4 linked regions of the Schizosaccharomyces pombe genome follow. The main gene of each other region encodes a partner of the protein of the gene in region 2 in a complex. Each region holds a gene or a part of one and is shown on either strand. Other genes may lie near its edges. The genes, in order: ssr4, rsc58, ssr3 and ssr2.

Region 1 (4,605 bases), on a different chromosome or scaffold from region 2:
GCAGCAGCAGCAGGAAAGCCCCAATCACTGTATAAGGGAAGTAATTGCTCATACCCAAGAAACTGTACAGTGTTTGCTGGCAAGAGCATTGTCAATGAAGGAACTAATCCACGCCACAAGCTTCTAACACCTTCATGCCGAGCGATCTGATAAAGTCCGGATACCGGGCCTCCTAAAGGCTTTGGAGCTGGCCTTCCCTTCCCCAATATCTTTGCTGAAGAAATGGGTTGCGTAGAAGAATATTGAGAAATAGATTCACTCTGCAAGCGGGTTTTCACAACATCTAAAGGCGTTACAGTCAGCGTTGTAATTACACTTCCTACACAAGCTGACAGCATTTTCGCTATAGGCTTCACATCGGGCTCAGCATTCACCGACAAGTCAGCTTCTACGCCTTCTGTCGCAGCTCCTATCTGCATGTATTCTCTCTGACTCTGTTTGTGTTCCTGTCATCTTCATTACGAAGCACCGTCCTTTCATCTACGAAGTCGTAGTTAAACTTCATTAAACCAAATAACGTTATGCAATGCACTATCATATATCTGGTCTGAGAGTTCTGTCTTAATAAGGTAGAAACGGCTATGGTACTTAGAACAGTCAATTGAATGAAGATGTCGTATCTACGAAGTGGGTGTGTGATGATATGCCTATTACTACTTGCTAATTATTAGAATCGTAGGGTTTCTTGCAGGTGCGAGTTTGAGCTATGCTGCCGGGGTCCAGGCATTGATTTCCACCAGTAAACAGAACAAAGACGAGCTCTTAACTGCAACTGAAGCGTTAGAAACTGATAAACAACTTTATAAGAAAATAGAAAAAAAGATTGAAGAATTAGAGTCAAGCTGTGTCAAAAAAAGTAGTTGGGAAATTCAGGAAAGCGAATGGAAGGCTATGTTCCAGACAATGCGTGTTGAATACTTGGAACTACTGGAAAAACAAAAGACTCTAGGGGAAGTACTAAATAAGCTTGTTGAAGATCGGCAAACAAAATTCCAGTTTTGATATGAAGCGCATCGTCCTTATACTATGTATGAAATTATTCGGAACCATACTCTTAACTATCTACCTGTCATTATAAAATATTTCATTTTTCTGTCACCTTCACCCAATCCTCCTAAAACAAGGTAAAAAAATTCGATGTAGGAATATCAGTGCTTGTTTGTTTACCCTAATGACAATGGCATTCTATCATTAAGCGACAAGGCTTTAAAGTAGGACGTACGTACTTTTCAAATCTTCTTTCTGATTAGCCTCAACATGTTTTTTCTATACTACACTTTAAATCTTCTATGATCTTTCCGTAACGTGACTTAAAGGAACGATTTTGGCTTCAGCGAACTCCTCAATTTTTTTTTGTAAGACATCACATTCTTCTGCCGACTTGATGTTGGAAAATTCTTTTAATAAGTTGGACATGCTATCAGTGTAGGAAAGATCACCTTGGAGACTTTGATACTTCTGATCTTGTTTTACAAGTTGCTCCTTGTTATCTTTCAACTCTTTACCAAGTTCTTCCATTGAATTAGGTTCTTGCCATAGTGCTGGAGGTTCGATGTCTTTGACTGATTGAAGTGTCAAAAGTACTTGACTCATCCATTCTGCGTGTTTGATAAATCGAGCCGTACAAATTTGTTGCGGAGAAAGTTTATCCATAACATCACCCTTTTCAATCTCTAAATCCTCTTGCATTAGAATTGAAGTATTGCCATTTGGAGGAATGGATGGCTTGTTCATGTTATCGACTGTCATATTCGTTGCACCCATGTGTCCTTCTGCAGTCTGTGCTGTTGCATTAGAATTGATAGGAGGAACAGGAGACGTAGTAACATTAGAGAACGATGGAGTCCTTGATTGGGACTTCATCTGAGCAGATCCCATATTTGGCAAGGTTTCTCTCTGTGATAAAGCTGTACCTTCTGGAATATGTTTTTTTGGTTCTTGAAGCAAAAATGGAGAAGTTTTAACGTCTGGTAAAGGGTATCGTCGTAAATGAGGTGGTTTGGCAACTGATATATTCGCAGGAATGCTATCAGTTTCTGAACCTTGAAAATAGTGTACAAGCCAAAAATTATCAAAACCAACTCCTAATAATCGATATCGGCATCTAACATGCATAGTTCGAGTTTCAGATAGTGGATAAAAACCGTGTTTTGCTTCATGAATTTCTAGTACCTATCGTATTGTATTAGTAAACTTATAAATTCAGTAAAATAATAATTTATTTGAAGCATTTATTTTAAAATAAACGGGGATACACATATGCAAGTTCCTAGACAATTGCTTAATGATCCCTTATACCGCAGTGCTTGTGAGCAACTTACCTTTCCTGCAACGTCCATATTAAAAAACCTTTCATTGCTCATAAAATGCATTCCATCTGGTGGAGATGGTAATGTAGGTGCTTGCCAAACTAAAAACAAGGAACCATCTGGTGGTTGATCTATGAGAGTCCAAGAAAATGAAATCTAAAATTTGTTAGAAAAAACATATATTGAAGTCTTCTAAAAACTACCTGTGGTAAAGCCTGGGACGCTTTTGTTAATATATCTACGACAGCAGGGATTGGTAATTGTGGTGCTGGTGGATATGGTAAATTCGCTCGACACCATACCTGAGATCGGTATTCCACTGGAATCGATAATAGACTCTGAGCTGCCATTGTAGCCGCCATTGTTGATTTTAATTATATGTAAGTTTTGGATGGTACAACTTACTCATATCTATCAAGATGCAGAAGTTTTGGCTTTGTTCTGTTGCACTATTTCATATAACGATGTTACATCAGTTTTCACTGTTTAAATGAAATTTCTAATATTTACAGTATCTATACGAAACTCTAGGTAATGTATAAACATACTCTAGTGTCTCTGTGTTCATTACAACTATCTTGATCAGATCCGTTTAACCATCGTAGAATCGTAAATAGCTAAACAAGAGCATGAATGTAAAGACATACTTAAATAGTAACAGTTAGCTGCTAATCATTAGTAGACAATATGCCAATAGACATGCAATGTATAAGTGATGGTTTTCGTAAAATTAAATGAGATGTCCATAAAAAAGTTCATAAAAATCCCAAGGCTTTTCTTAACAGACAAAGGATTCTATAGCCATTAATTATTTGAGCTTATAAGCTCCTCCAGTAAACTCCAACTTTTCCTCTTTGATCATTAATGCTAGAAATTCTCTTAGCTCGCTCTGGGTACGAGTATAGCCGTTTGGCGGTGGGATAAACATCGTGAGCATGTTGTGAATTCGTTCAAGCTCAAGAGCTCCAAGGTTCGTCAACATTCCTACAACAAAAGACCTTTTTTTATTAATTACAAATTTTAGTTTTAATAAAGAAACATACCAGTAAACACGCATCTCAGCGGCACTGCTTTCGGCTTCACTTTGAACAGCTGATACCCCTTGGATTTCATCAAGTACAGTTTCTGTCGCGGTTTCGGCTTCAGTTTCACGAACACGATATCGGTCGTCGCCGATGTCGGTAAGCACTCGATGATGAAGCCAAAATTTCAAATGTCGCTCAACTATTTCTTTCGGCTGATCTAAAAGTTCAGCAGCTTTCTCAATATGTAATGTAGAAGTCTCTTCAAAAAGTGATATAAAGGCAGCTTGCTCCGGTGTAACTGTCAACGTGAGTGTTCTATCCTCAAGCTCAATTTCCAACTCTACCGATCCTAAGTTGGGTAAAAAAACAAGCTCCCTTTTTCTCTTTCTTTCTCTGTATTCTTCAGCATATGCATCGAGTTCTTTTTTCAGAGGGCCAGGTAAATGAAAATATCGAACAGACAAAGTAGGCCAAAATAATCTTGATAAAATAGTTACGTGCAAACCTTTCGAAACATAGTTCTCCATGTGGATGCTCTGATCAATAAATCTTGAATTCTCAATATCGTTCAGCATAACACTACACATTTGCAGAACAGTCTCTCCAAATCGATACTTTAAAAACTCTATATTTTTTGCCTAAAAAACGTTAGAAAATTCAACTTAAATAGAATAAAACAAACCTCAACTTCATAATGATAATCTGTAAGTTGTAAAAGTCGATCAGCTAGTAACAATTGTAATTCCTTCACTAAGGGCTCCTTGCTTTTAAAAATGGAAATGAGACTTCCAACAACGTCTCTATCGGTTGGTTTTTTAAAGTCAGGAGCCGCATCAATCGGATCCGGCATCCAGTGGTAATTATCAAATCGATCCGTTGTTGAGTCGATGTTTTCAGTGGGAATTTGAGAAAGCTCAGAGCGTAGGCCTTTTTCACCGTCAACAAACAATAAGGAAACCAAGCATTTATATGCATCTTCTCGTTCATTTAGAAAAGAACGAATGGGTTTGGCAGCTTTGTCTAAAAGAACACCAGGGGGGTCTAATGCAACAAAACAACGAATGGTAGAGACATAGAACAAAAGAATATAGGAGCTATCACTGCTAGCGGTCAAAATACTACTTGTACAATCTTTCACAAAAGTTTCGGTTAAATATTGACGTTGCTGTTTTTGACGGGCAACTAAACGCAAGTCTTCAATTGCGCCTAGTGAATTGGGGTAATGAAGAACAATATCAAGAATGTTGTCTGATCGCAAATGAGCAAGTATT
Region 2 (3,950 bases):
CGCGGACTAATAGCCAGCTGGCATTAGAAGGAGAACGAGGTGTCAAAGGTAATGCTGAAGAAGCAGTTGAGCCTTCAGAAGAGCCTAATTTCGCATCAATTGAAAGGTCACTGTGCCTACGCATTCCCCTTACTTCTTGACGCTTTAACTCCTCTGAGGAATCTTCATGTTGACTTGATGTGTCACCGTCTTCTGCAAGTTGTCCTGTTGAAGCTCTTGAAATATTGGGTCTTGGTGTTTCGAGATCAGAATCAATAAATGGTGATGCAGCAGAGCTCACAAGACTACTCGCTGATTCTTCATCCAAATCAGAAGTATTCGAACCAGAAGACGACTGATTCGACATCTGTCGTTGGTAAATAAACGATTTGGGTTGTTTAGAAATGACAACTCTCTGAAGCAACAAAGCAATAGTGATAAGGTATCGGCATGTTTTATCGGTATTTAGCTTTTGGGTGGTTGAACAAAAAAGTTTCAAAAATACATCAATATATTGAGATATAAATAAGGTAATATATATATATATATGTATGTATATACATCTATTAATTAGTTAAACTAAAATCTTTAAGTAACACCATGGAAATAGAGAACGAATTCATCTACGTGATTTTGTAGTCCGTCGATAAGACTGTAAAGGAACATTTGTAGAGCTTGGACTTAAGGAGCCGTTCATTGATAGGGAATTGCTCCGTAAAGCAGCATTGGACTGGGAGCGTAGCAGTTGCTGTGAAGGAAGCTCCAGCGGTTGTGCACTAAGAGGAAGAGTTCCACGATAAAAGGCGCCATATTGAGTGAGTGAAAGAGTAAAATCGTCCATAAGAAAATCTTCTGGAGACATATCGTAATCTTTTGCTAACTTAAGTATCAAGTTTTGTACTTGCACAGATATTTGGCGCTCCTCATCGGAGAGTACGTTATGAGATGTGATTCTTTGATTTTGAAGCAGTTGAAGATGCTGTAGTAACTTATTCAATTCAACAAGTTCCCCTTGAATAGGTACAGAAGTCCATGAGTCTTCTTCTAATAGACTCAAATTGTTTTGAATGATGTCAATATCGATTGACTTCTCGACAGGTGCCTCTTTGTAATGACTAGATGCCCGATAACAAGCAACAGAATGAAATGAAGAATCAGGAATAACAGAAGAAGATGAATTTTTGTAAGGAGCAATTGAGGAGAAGGGGCCAGACTGTAGGTACTTCACAGTAGGAAGTTTAGCCAATGAAGGATTAAATTCTATAACTGATGCAGGAGGTTTGGCGGTTGAGGGGGGGGATAACTTATCCAAGGTGTACTCTTGGGAATTAGCAACGGATGGAGTTGGCAAAAGGGCAACTGGCTTTGCAATTATTCCTCCATCTGGTAATCGACTGTCTAATCGGGAAGTTCGAGCAGTAGAACTGAACAAAGGACCAGCAGAACCGACCATAAACAAAGCGTGTGACCTGAATTGTGGTTGTAAATCTTGACTAAATTAGTAAAGTCTATAAATAAAAAAAAAATAAAAAGAAAAGAAAAACATTTTCATTTTAACTTACCATTTTCCAATGAAGCGGTTGAATTTTCAGCATCAAAAGTGAAGCCATTTTTTATTTCTTTCCCAACAACTTTACTTTGTTCGAGTGTGGTAATTCGGTTCACCGATGTATATAATTTGTCGACATTCCAATAATCAGCATCTTTTGGAAAGTAGGAATGAATTATATGCACGCATACATTCGTCCAATCTTCTAGAAACTCTGGGTACCTTTGATAAACAGCGGACTTTAAGTTTGCCTCGAGGGTTTGCTTGTTTGTGGTAGCAGTGCAATTCAATACTAGATTGCCCGCAGGTGCAGAAGAGATATAGGAAAGAATTAAGGAGCAACTTTCAGCATTCATTGCCGAGTTTGTTTTACGAATTGCTATCAAAAAAGGCCGGATAACGGTAATGCGTTTCAAATACTCAAAATATGCCCAGATCGATAAAAACCAAAAAATTTCTTTTTTGAAACCATGCAAATTGTAATGTCTTAGTTTTTTCGGGCAACCTAGGTACTTTGCGCGGAACAATCTATTATGTTCTCTTCACTTTGCACCTTTGACTACCTTGTTGATGTGAGCTATGCTAGCACCGAAGTTTTAGTACGTTGGCGATGGAAGCACACTCGATGTTGGCGATATAACGAATGATATCTGCGAAATTCCCTAGGCCTCGCTAGAGATCATTATTCGGTAAACAAAAGAATGGAGTGGGTTTTCATGAAATGGACGGATTCTTTTAATCGGAAAGAAATGGGGTGATAGGCATATTAGAAGATAATAATAATAATAAATAATAAAAAGTTCATATTTTAGTAATATGTTTTTGTAATCGTAGCAGATCCGATCATAGAAAAATGGTATACTGTAAATGTTAGGTGCATTTGATACCAAGCTAACAGTATCATACATGTAGCAACACCTCATTAAGTATAAGAAATCATTTGTTTCGAGTAACCCTTTCAATTCTAACCAGTTGCAGTAGATTACCATGTTCTGAATATCCTAGTAATAGCCTCAGCAACTAGAAAGTGATAACGCACGTTTAATGCTGCGTTTGTAATGTTTAATGTATTACTATGCAATATGTTATGCAACTTGCTGAATAAGTTCTATATAGAGTACATAAAGTGAATAATAGATCAAGCGAAACTTCAAGCCTATCTTAGCGAGGAATGCTTAAAACTGAACTATTAGATACTGCAGTACGCAATAGCAATTTGTTTATGATAATTCAGAGAAATTTCTGTACTGTATATATATACACACATACTTGATAAATGAATCATTATAGATGTCTCAAATAAAATTATTTTTATGCGTCTATATTACACTATTTATAGACGACTAAACAAGTTGAGCATCACAATTGCTCAGAGTTCGGCGATTGGTAGAAACAAAGCATGAACAGAGAACAAAGATTGTTTTTTTTTGTGTTTTTGCTCTTGTTTTCCCCCATATCAAAATATCTTCTAGCAGAAAAGACGATGGAGAATTGATGAAATTAAATATTTTGACACACTGAACCATGGCTTTAAGTTAACAGCAGTACCTGCGTATACTTAGCTCGCTAAAGAAGCAGAAATGCTCTTGAAAACAAAGTCTAGCATTGTTTTTATATAAAGAAGTTAACAAATTTCAACTCGCAATCTCTCCACATTCCATAGCCCAGCACTTGCTAAAAGACAATTTTTTCTAAACAACAACGAAAACATTATCGGGTTACGGCAAAGACTAAAAAAAGGATGCCAATTTTCTCAAATTATTTTTTTTGAAGGGTTCTGCTAGATCAAGAGCATACAACAGAGGTGGATTAAAACAGTTTACCAAACACCACAGTGAAAGCAATACACATATGTTTGAAGCGTAGTGCTCAGTAATTCATATGAAGTATAATTTTAATTCAGACTATGTTTGTCATAAGATCAGCGATATAAATAGAAGAAGTGATAAAAATGTCTATATGAAGAAACCATAATCGTCAATAAATCAAGTATTGAAAAAAGAAATCGACGTTCTCACACAATTTACATGCAAAAATCAATACTTGAAAAAATGTCAACATTCTACGCTAAGCGTTTACTTAAGAAAATTTGCAACTCATAATAGCTCATTAAATAAAGGAAAGGAACTGCTTTTGTTGTAGTGAGAATGTCACTTTGGTTCCAAATACATCATGGATTGTTGTCATTCATTATGAAATCCCCACTGACATATGTAACTGATTAGATGAAAATCTCACATTTGTTTTGTCTTGCGATTTACCACCATCTTCTAAGACACTCCTTTCTTTGAAGCAGCGTGGTTTCAGCAAACGAAGGCTTCAACTAAACCCTTGTTTGCTTACTTTTTTATCGTTTACGTTTGGTTGTGGAGGTTACTATCAGGCTACACCAAGGTACTCTTGACTTGAGCAGAATTAAATA
Region 3 (4,807 bases), 250 kb from region 2:
CAATTATAAGCGTTGCTTCCGGTAAAGGAATGTTTCACTAACAATATTCTTACAAATGTAAAAACATTTGAAGATGTTTTGAAGACTTTGTCCGACGATAGTTAAGATTATCCTGAACCTTTAATCAGACTTCAATGGACAAGTCTATTAAGAACTGATTTCTTTTAACAAGTGTTTACACGCACAATTGAATCAGTGTACTATTTATGCTTATGGAAATCTTGGAATTACAATAGAGGTTGGGTATAAGTTTATCTGCTACAAGCTCGAAAGCGATCTTGAAAATAAAGATCGATATAAGCCTCTTAAAGAGCCTCTCGTTACCTTGCCCAATAAAAAATACAGTGTATTCGTTATAAATCGGTAATAGGGAAAGGTAAGGGTTTAATCTTAAGTTCCTAAACTTGCTAGTAAAGAACGTATTGATAACTACCAACATTTTTAATACAATATTAAGCATAGTTATTGTAGTAGTATTCTTTCATGGATTTAAATAATCCTCCTTCAAAACGCTTTGGAGATGACGATGATATTCCTGCTAACAAACGCCCCAAAAATGAAGAGTATCCAGAAATTCCAGGTTATTTAGGTAATCGAAAACCTTCTTATACCCAAAATCCTAATTCAGGGCCTGGAAAATTACATTATGCATCTCCACGACCAAATAATGTATCATCAAGCGTTGGAGTGGCAAGCGGCGGCGACAGGCAAGAGGCAGATCAGCTTCAGGATGCTCTTATTTCATGTGGTATTCAATTAAAAGAAGAGGAATTGAATTTGTCTACTTCCTTTTATGACCCTTCATCTCTAAATACATTCGCGCTTACTACCGAAGACCGTTCAAGAAAGTCAGACTTCTTAAATTCTTTTGTGTTGATGCAAACAGTTAGCAACATTGTAAACTTACATCGTTTAAAAAGCATGGATTCTGATATTCATGCTCTAATATCTATGGCAGTCCGTGATTATCTGGCAAATTTGTTGCAAAAAATGATTGTTGAAAGCCATCACCGGACTTCACAGTTGCATACTGATAATTACAAACAAGTTGACAACGTGCGCCAGACTCTTGCCAATTTTGCTTATAAGGAGTACGAAAGTGAGGAGAGAAGACGTACAGTATTGAATATTCGTAGAGCAGAGCATGAAGCTCGTTTGGCTGAACTTAATTCGGCTTCCACTAATGAAGAAGGATCGAGTCGACGTAGAAAAGAACAAAGCTCTTCCGCTGCAGCAAAAAATATATCTGAAGATGCGCAAAACAGAATGACTAACGCTACTGCAAGCATCATGGCTGGTAGTGCACTACCATCCGGTGGTAAAAAGTACTCGTGGATGGCAACTGATATGACTCCAATGACTCCTGCAGTTGGAGGTGGATTTGGTATTCGGAAAAAGGATTCTAATTCTCTTAAGCCCTCCTCCCGTGATGGTGTTTTGCCCTTACAACAAGAAGAAAAAGGTATAATTACTATTAGGGACGCATTAGCGGTTCTTGAAATGGATAGAGAAGGTGCTGGGCGTATTTTTGGTAGGGGTGCTAAGGCAATGATGCGTGCTTACATTAGGCTAAAAGATTAAACTTATGAATTTAATATGGCCTTAAAAAGTTATGACTAACTCATTTATTTATCTCGGGGATTCATTTATAAAACCCCTTCCTCCTATTTGAGTGGATTATTGTTCAGGACAACCGATGACTTTTTAAACACGATAATTGCATTAGGTCAAGTCAGGCGGAATACAATGTTTTGTTCTATCGAAATCAATTTTGGATTTCCTATGATGTATTTTTCTTAAATGAAACGAAGAATAAGCTCTTTTTTTTATTCTGGTTATATGTAATTTTTTTTTAATTTGTAAATAATATACACGTTTGTGACACACGCAGGAATATACCGTTGCTTTCTACTGGTAACGTAGTAATAGTCTATCACTTCTTAGCAGAAGCATTTAAAACGCTTTGCTGCTTTTTGCTATTTAGTAAATTAAGATAATGAAATGCACTCTCATGTACCCAGGGTTGTTGATAATAATCAGCACTTCTTTTTTCTGCATAATTCATATTTGTGCCATCCAAAACGATTTCTAAATCTCGGCTCTGGGATTCAATCCATTCGTTAATAAATTCAATTGGACTCTCCGAAAATTTCTTCATGAAATCATACTTCGACTGTGAGTAAGTGATAGCTTGAATTAACTCGGTAAGCTTATCGTCAATACTTCTGATTTTATCTTGCGACATCATCGTAGCAAGGAAAGAGCGAATTTGGCTGTGCCTAGGATCTTCCGTGTTGATACGGATATCAAAAATTGTAACTTTTTCAACAGTATGTTCACTGACATTAATGGTATACGGTATAACAATGGGATCAATAGGTTCGAGAAATCTATTCATAAGCTCAGGAATTCTAGGGAAGTAAAGACGATCTGCTTCAAATAAATCCCTTAATGCCTTATCACAGTTAATTAATCTTTTCTCCTCCATGTCTTGCAAGCGATGGAACTTGATGTATTGCCAAAGGTAGCTAACGATGTCAGGACGAGTGCCCTCACGAATACCCAGTATATTAGCAAAGGCTTTTGAAAGTTTATATCGTTCAGGATGCTCTTCAGGGTATAACATAATTTTGACATCTACGGATTGGTCGCCTTTTCTCGTAACGGTAATGCCGTTAGATGTATTAGAGTTATCCGGAAGTTTATTCCATTCAACATAATTACCACTAGGATAGAGATCATCTGATCGTAAAATTTGGATAGCAATTTTACGGAAAAAGTTGGTGAAAGGTGCTAATTCAAAAGCTTTATCGTCTTCGTCGTCAGGATTAACGAGTAGTCTACCTTCAATATGGAGAGTCCATTCAGGTATGGGAAGGGAGTTAATGTCGCCAGAATTATTCTCTTGATTTTCTCCCTTTTGTTGCCATGATTGATTCGCAACAGTGGAATGTATGTACATACGAAGAATCCTGGTTTTGTGAGAGTTTCGACTTAAGGAATCCTGTAAATCAAATCGTTTCCGAACGATTAATGAATCCAATTTTCTTTCTAAATCTTGAAGAGCAATATAATCTTCTGCTTCTGGGATTTTTTCAAGCAATGAGTCTGGAATTTCTCTTTCAATAATTCTCATACTCTTCTTCAACTCTGCGTCTTCTCCGTTACCGCTTTGTACACCATTCTCTGGTAAACGGCTATTATTAGACATGATAAGCTGTCCTTATTCAAGCTCCTCTCAAATATGCGGCAATCCGAACCGATCAATAATCTTCGATATTTGGTGGACGTGAAGTGGTGGACCCAAATACCATTTAGTATCTATCTGCTTCCAACAGCTGAGCACCGTTAACTGAAATACTAGGAATTACATATCATTTCTTTTGTATATGAATTATTCAATTGTATCTCGATTTTCGAGCGTTGTCGATATAAAAGCAGTTAGTATATCGAAACCATAAGATGCTTTGCTGATCACTCATTCACGACGCTAACAAGTTTATCAACGTATTTTTCACTAAAAAAAAAACAATCATTTCTATAATAATTAGTTATTAACTTTACTTTGAGTATAAACACATACATATACACACCTGACTAACTTGCTGTAATATAAAGTTACAATGTTACCCATCCAGCAGTAGCTTCATCTCTCGCATAATTCCATGCTGGAAGCACTTTGAAATAACCATCATCATCATGTCTAGCAAATCTAGCCTTGAATTAGCAAACAATGCAGTAAAAAGCAACGATATCGAAAAGGCGATTGATTTGTATAAAGAAGTTCTTAATAAAGGAGTTAGTAAAGACGAAAAAGTTGCGAATGAACAGGAACAAGCTCTCACTAACTTGAGCGATTTATACGTTCGTGAAAAGTATGTAAATTCTAAATAAAGGAACAGTTATGCCTCAAGATAACTAACATTTATTTCTCTAGTCGCCATAATGATTTGGCTCAGTTGGTTCAACAAAGTCGTCCGCTGATGGCTAACTTCTCGAAAGCCAAGTCTGCTAAAATTGGTAAGTATCAATGTCTATTGTGTTAACAACCTAACACCATTTTAGTCCGAACATTAATTGATAAATTCTCTGGCGAAAAGAAGTCTTTGCCTTTACAAATCGAAGTTGCTAACGATTGTATCAAATGGGCTATTAAAGAAAAGCGTACATTTTTGCGTCAAGCTTTAGAGACGAAATTAATTTCCTTATATTATGACAACTCATCTTACACTGATGCCATCAATCTCATTAATACTCTTTTGTCAGAGCTCAAACGAATGGACGACAAAATGCTTTTGACCGAAGTTCATTTGTTGGAATCGAAAGTTTATCACGCAATTAGAAATATACCAAAAGCTCGTGCTTCATTAACAGCTGCTAAAACTTCTGCTAATGCTGTTTATTGCCCTCCGATGCTTCAGGGGAACTTAGATTTGCAAAGTGGTATTTTACATGCTGACGATATGGATTTCAAGACTGCTTATTCATACTTTTATGAGGCTTATGAGGGATTCACGTCGCTTGATGATGATAAAAAAGCCCTTTCATCTTTAAAATACATGTTGTTATCTCAAATTATGCTTAATTCTGTTTCCGAAGTCAAATCTTTATTAACAGGAAAGCACGCAATTCGGTACGCTGGTAGAGATATTGAAGCTATGCGTGCGATTGCTCAGGCTCATGAAAATCGATCCCTGGCTGATTTTGAAAAGGCTTTGCAAGACTATAAACCTGAACTGGCTTCCGATCCAATCATCAGATCTCATTTAAGTAGTCTCTATGATAACTTGCTTGAGCAAAACTTACT
Region 4 (3,910 bases), 1.9 Mb from region 2:
ATTTATGGTTTTGACTACAAGCCTGGTGAAGGTACTAATGGGTATGTATCTTGGTTTGTCGGTCCAAACTATACTTGGTCGATGCTTGGCAGCGCCGTCGGTCAAAATGGAAATGTCGGACCTCGTCAAATTAGTGAGGAGCCAATGTCTATTATTTTCAACCTTGGAATATCAAACAATTGGGCTTATTATTACTTCCGGGATCTTTCATTTCCTGCAGTGATGTACATAGATTACATTCGTATCTATCAAGACCCTGATGACACCAACTCACATATCGGATGTGATCCCCCCGGCTATCCTACTACCAAGTATATTGAAGAACATCCGTTAGCATACAAAAATCCAAATGCTACAACTTGGGAAATGGCTGGTTATACATGGCCTAAGAATTCTTTAATGCATAAATGTAACACTTAATTGCCATTATGATCATATTTTATATGAATTATCTATATATTTAAGATGCATTTCAGTTATATAACAATTAGAATTTAATGTTCATTTTTTTTTCTTTTTCAAAAAAAAAATTTAGATTACATATATATATGTCTATAAAAACTAGATAGCCAAAAGAACTTCATGCAGAATACAAATTTGAATTTGGTGAACCTAACTTATAAAGCAATTGTACGAAATTTATCGGGATATTGCTTACTTAAAGGAGAAACGGTTGTTGCCGTAGGCATCTCAAATGTCAATAATGCTTCTGCATGTTCTGTACTCATTAAATCGTCAATTATTTTCAAACCATCTTCACCGCCCAAATTAACAGCTTCTTCCAATTTCTTGTTAAACGCAAGAAGCATTTTTTTAGTAGACAAACGACTTAGTAGTAAGTTTTTTCCACGAAGATCGAGTTCAGATAATTCTAAAGAACACATCTTTTCGAGTTGTTCAAGCACCTTCATTTTAAGCTGTAACTTCTCAAGCTGAGCCTGGATTAACGAAAAAACCAAGCGTCGAAGCTGGCGATTTTCAAACGCTGCAATCAATTTTGCTTTTTGAGCAGCAGATTTTAAAGCATAATAAGCAACCCTCTCTAGTGGGTTTTTAAACTCGGAATTCCCAAAGGAGGTTTCTCCTTGTTTCACTGATTCATTTTGCTTGCGCTCTTTCATGCCTTGTTGAACAATGGAAGCCAAATATGTTAAAGTACTTAAAACTGGATTTTCATTTTCATCAAAGGGCAAAAATCCCTTTTTAAATGGGGAAAAGTCACCCTGAAGTTTCTGTCGATAGGGATCCTCTATAGGAATCTGGAGGAAATGAATCAAGCATTGCTCTTTAGTTCGTGATCCAACATGTAAAGCTATTTGATTCCAGTCGTCTCCATAAGTTTCAATAGCTTCTAATAAAAGCAAAGTTTCTTGGTTAGACCATGGTTTTTCCTCGTCGTGATTGAAATCAATCGCATCCATGCACAAAAAATCAGAGGAATTAAAGGAAGAAGAAAACCTCCCTTGTTTATAACAGTTTGGACAGATGTCATATTTTTTGTTTTTTAAGTTGTGATACCAAGTTTGAGAGCAATTAACACCGCAAGTGAAACAAACTTTATCGACTCGAGGGACTTTGTCGCTTTTTTCATCTTCTTCTTTGGGAGAGGTTTGTTCCATTGCATTTAAACTAGGGCTGTAATGCTTTTCTTCTAATTTAACAAATTCTTGGCTCGAAGATCCACCGACGGTACTAGGAGGAGGGTGTTGAGCTAACATTTCTTGCGTGACGATTGGAGTATTACTAATAGCTTGAACATGTCCTGAAATAGGAGGAAGTCGGAATGCAGGTCGCGTTTCAGGATCGATTTGATAGTTAATTAAGCCCCACTGTTCGAGAAATGCATGCACGCGAATTATAGCACAAACATCACCAACAAGATTTCGACGACATGCAGTAACTGTCAGGTATTCATTTGGTTCTAAACGATATGAATTAATCATAAAATCTCTATAGTCCTTGTATATAGAAGGAGTTTTGAGAGGAGATTTTCCATTAAAAAATTCGGGATTCGACCTTCGCTCAATATCGTGTATTTTCGACATGTCAAACCATCCTGCATAAGAAGGAACAATGATGGGATAAGTTTGTTCCACCAGAAAGGGTATGCGAACTTGATCGAGAGTCATCGTGAAGGTCTGATTTTTGAATAGTCCACTCACGAAAAAAATGTAATACCCACAAAATTAAGTTGTTTTTAAGTTGTAACACACTTGAAAAGTTAAGAAAGAGGCCTTAATAATAAAAATTATAAATACAAGAGAAATAGCACAATTGCCATTTAATAAATTAGAGCACTAGTTGTTGACAAGTCGTCCGGCTATACTCATTTACAAGTTACGGTGCATTTTGATAAACGTGTTTTAAGAAACAATAGCTTAACTACATATTAAGGCCATTTCGCTATATTTAATTCGACACGCTAATTATCACTATGTTTTTTCCTAATAAAAAGTTACGTTAGTTAATGGATACAACAAAAGAATTTGTAGTAATTGAATGAATATAAGGTGGGTCTATGGGTACGAATGGTAAATTGACGATCTTATATTATAAGCCAGAGAACATTTGAGACTGTTACACGCATATATCGAGGGCTATCCTTCTTAGAATATCACTCTACTTTATTCGGATAACTCAAGTTTTCAAGTCAAAAGAAAGCATCTAGAAAATGATTGTTCTTAGTTACATACTTTTGTCGAAAAGCTGAAACTGTCACAAATCTTCTGATTTTTTGTGAAAAAATCTAATTTCTATAAGAAAAAAACAAGGGACCAACCGGATTTGAACCAGTGACCTGGGGATCTGCAATCCCTCACTCTAACCACTGAGCTATGACCCCTTGCGACAATTGCAAGGCAAAAAATGAATTATAAGATCTTTTTACGATTTTATTAAGTTGAGCAATTAGAAATCAAAGTTTCCGCTAAGGCTCGAAAGAGAATCTTGCCAAGCTTTGAATATATTTATAAAGGTTGCTTTAAATAGCGCGAACGCAACTATCTGAACAATTTTTAACGGAAACCGCTTCAGCAGTAAGAAGAAAATATTTCTATTTTAGCATTCAAAATGCAGTTACTAAGTATGATTGATTTCAAGGCTTATTATAAACCGGCATTTTACAATGTACTTAGTAATTTATGGAGATGAGAACTCCTTAAAATATAGCTTCGTGATCCTTCAAATCCTATCCAACTCAATTTACTTGAAAAATTTGAAATTTCCGGCGCTCGTTAATTATCAAACTGAAAAACCAGCTAAAAGAATGCGGGCATTATTCACCGAATAGCCTCAAAGTATCTAACGATATCGATAAGTTATCTACAGGTGCAAAACTTCCACTGTTATAATTGTAACTTTTTCAAGCGGGCTTCGGTTAACAGAATTTTATAAACATGTACAAATTGCTCATTTCCTAAGCAATCCAGAATTTTGCCTTCACCGACAAATTACTGATGAGGATCACGGCGAAATGGCAAACTTGAAAAATGTAAATTGCATCTTGCTTCGAAAGCTATTTCACGCTAAATTAATAATTTTATAGTAAAAGAATAAACAATGCTGATCTCAAAATTTGTATACATTTGATAAAAAGGCATAATTTTGTTGGGTTCGATGCTTAGTAATAAAATTATAGTTCGAGAATATATGGTTACTATATGGCTAGAGAAAAATGATATTTTTTGATTATTTTGCGATTATATGTGTTGCCAAATTATAAAGCCTGCTATATCCTGGCGGATCTAATTTCTTACTCCGGGCGCTCACAACATTTTGGCAGTTTATTCCGTTATCCATTAAAGTGGTAAATTTTTTGGAATGGTTTGAAAGTTAACCTTAACCATCTCCCAGTTGTGGCACCAACACCAACAATTTGGTATTTTTGTATAATTATCAATTTATAAGTTTT

What was found.
Region 1: rsc58 (region 2) and ssr4 share a complex: the UniProt entries of both Schizosaccharomyces pombe proteins name them as parts of the RSC complex.
Region 3: rsc58 (region 2) and ssr3 share a complex: the UniProt entries of both Schizosaccharomyces pombe proteins name them as parts of the RSC complex.
Region 4: rsc58 (region 2) and ssr2 share a complex: the UniProt entries of both Schizosaccharomyces pombe proteins name them as parts of the RSC complex.

Annotation. Positions count from the first base shown.
Region 1 is NC_003423.3:2,001,782-2,006,386, reverse strand, and holds ssr4 (SWI/SNF and RSC complex subunit Ssr4), read right to left. Parts: upstream 2,692-4,605; 5' UTR 2,672-2,691; coding exon 2,513-2,671; intron 2,466-2,512; coding exon 2,322-2,465; intron 2,299-2,321; exon of another isoform or gene 2,173-2,298; coding exon 1,288-2,172; 3' UTR 1,003-1,287; coding exon of another isoform or gene 672-1,002; 3' UTR 632-671; coding exon of another isoform or gene 606-631; 3' UTR 525-605; downstream 1-524. Other genes in the region: mtm1 (Mn(2+) ion transporter), read right to left, coding at 1-419; SPOM_SPBP23A10.17 (uncharacterized protein), read left to right, coding at 606-631, 672-1,002; anaphase-promoting complex cullin family subunit Apc2, read right to left, coding at 3,118-3,307, 3,353-3,972, 4,017-4,605. UniProt on the Schizosaccharomyces pombe protein: Component of the chromatin structure remodeling complex (RSC), which is involved in transcription regulation and nucleosome positioning. Controls particularly membrane and organelle development genes.
Region 2 is NC_003424.3:630,958-634,907, forward strand, and holds rsc58 (RSC complex subunit Rsc58), read right to left. Parts: upstream 2,098-3,950; 5' UTR 1,885-2,097; coding exon 1,542-1,884; intron 1,468-1,541; coding exon 599-1,467; 3' UTR 554-598; downstream 1-553. Other genes in the region: mitotic and meiotic spindle pole body protein, gamma tubulin complex linker-related Spo15, read right to left, coding at 1-346; SPOM_SPAC1F3.08C (uncharacterized protein), read right to left, coding at 2,191-2,517. UniProt on the Schizosaccharomyces pombe protein: Component of the chromatin structure remodeling complex (RSC), which is involved in transcription regulation and nucleosome positioning. Controls particularly membrane and organelle development genes.
Region 3 is NC_003424.3:883,962-888,768, forward strand, and holds ssr3 (SWI/SNF and RSC complex subunit Ssr3), read right to left. Parts: upstream 3,292-4,807; 5' UTR 3,212-3,291; coding exon 1,934-3,211; 3' UTR 1,582-1,933; downstream 1-1,581. Other genes in the region: transcription factor TFIID complex subunit Taf4, read left to right, coding at 484-1,581; proteasome regulatory subunit Rpn6, read left to right, coding at 3,700-3,875, 3,938-4,020, 4,066-4,807. UniProt on the Schizosaccharomyces pombe protein: Component of the chromatin structure remodeling complex (RSC), which is involved in transcription regulation and nucleosome positioning. Controls particularly membrane and organelle development genes.
Region 4 is NC_003424.3:2,509,470-2,513,379, reverse strand, and holds ssr2 (SWI/SNF and RSC complex subunit Ssr2), read right to left. Parts: upstream 2,300-3,910; 5' UTR 2,130-2,299; coding exon 618-2,129; 3' UTR 534-617; downstream 1-533. Other genes in the region: SPOM_SPAC23H3.11C (glucosidase), read left to right, coding at 1-420. UniProt on the Schizosaccharomyces pombe protein: Component of the chromatin structure remodeling complex (RSC), which is involved in transcription regulation and nucleosome positioning. Controls particularly membrane and organelle development genes.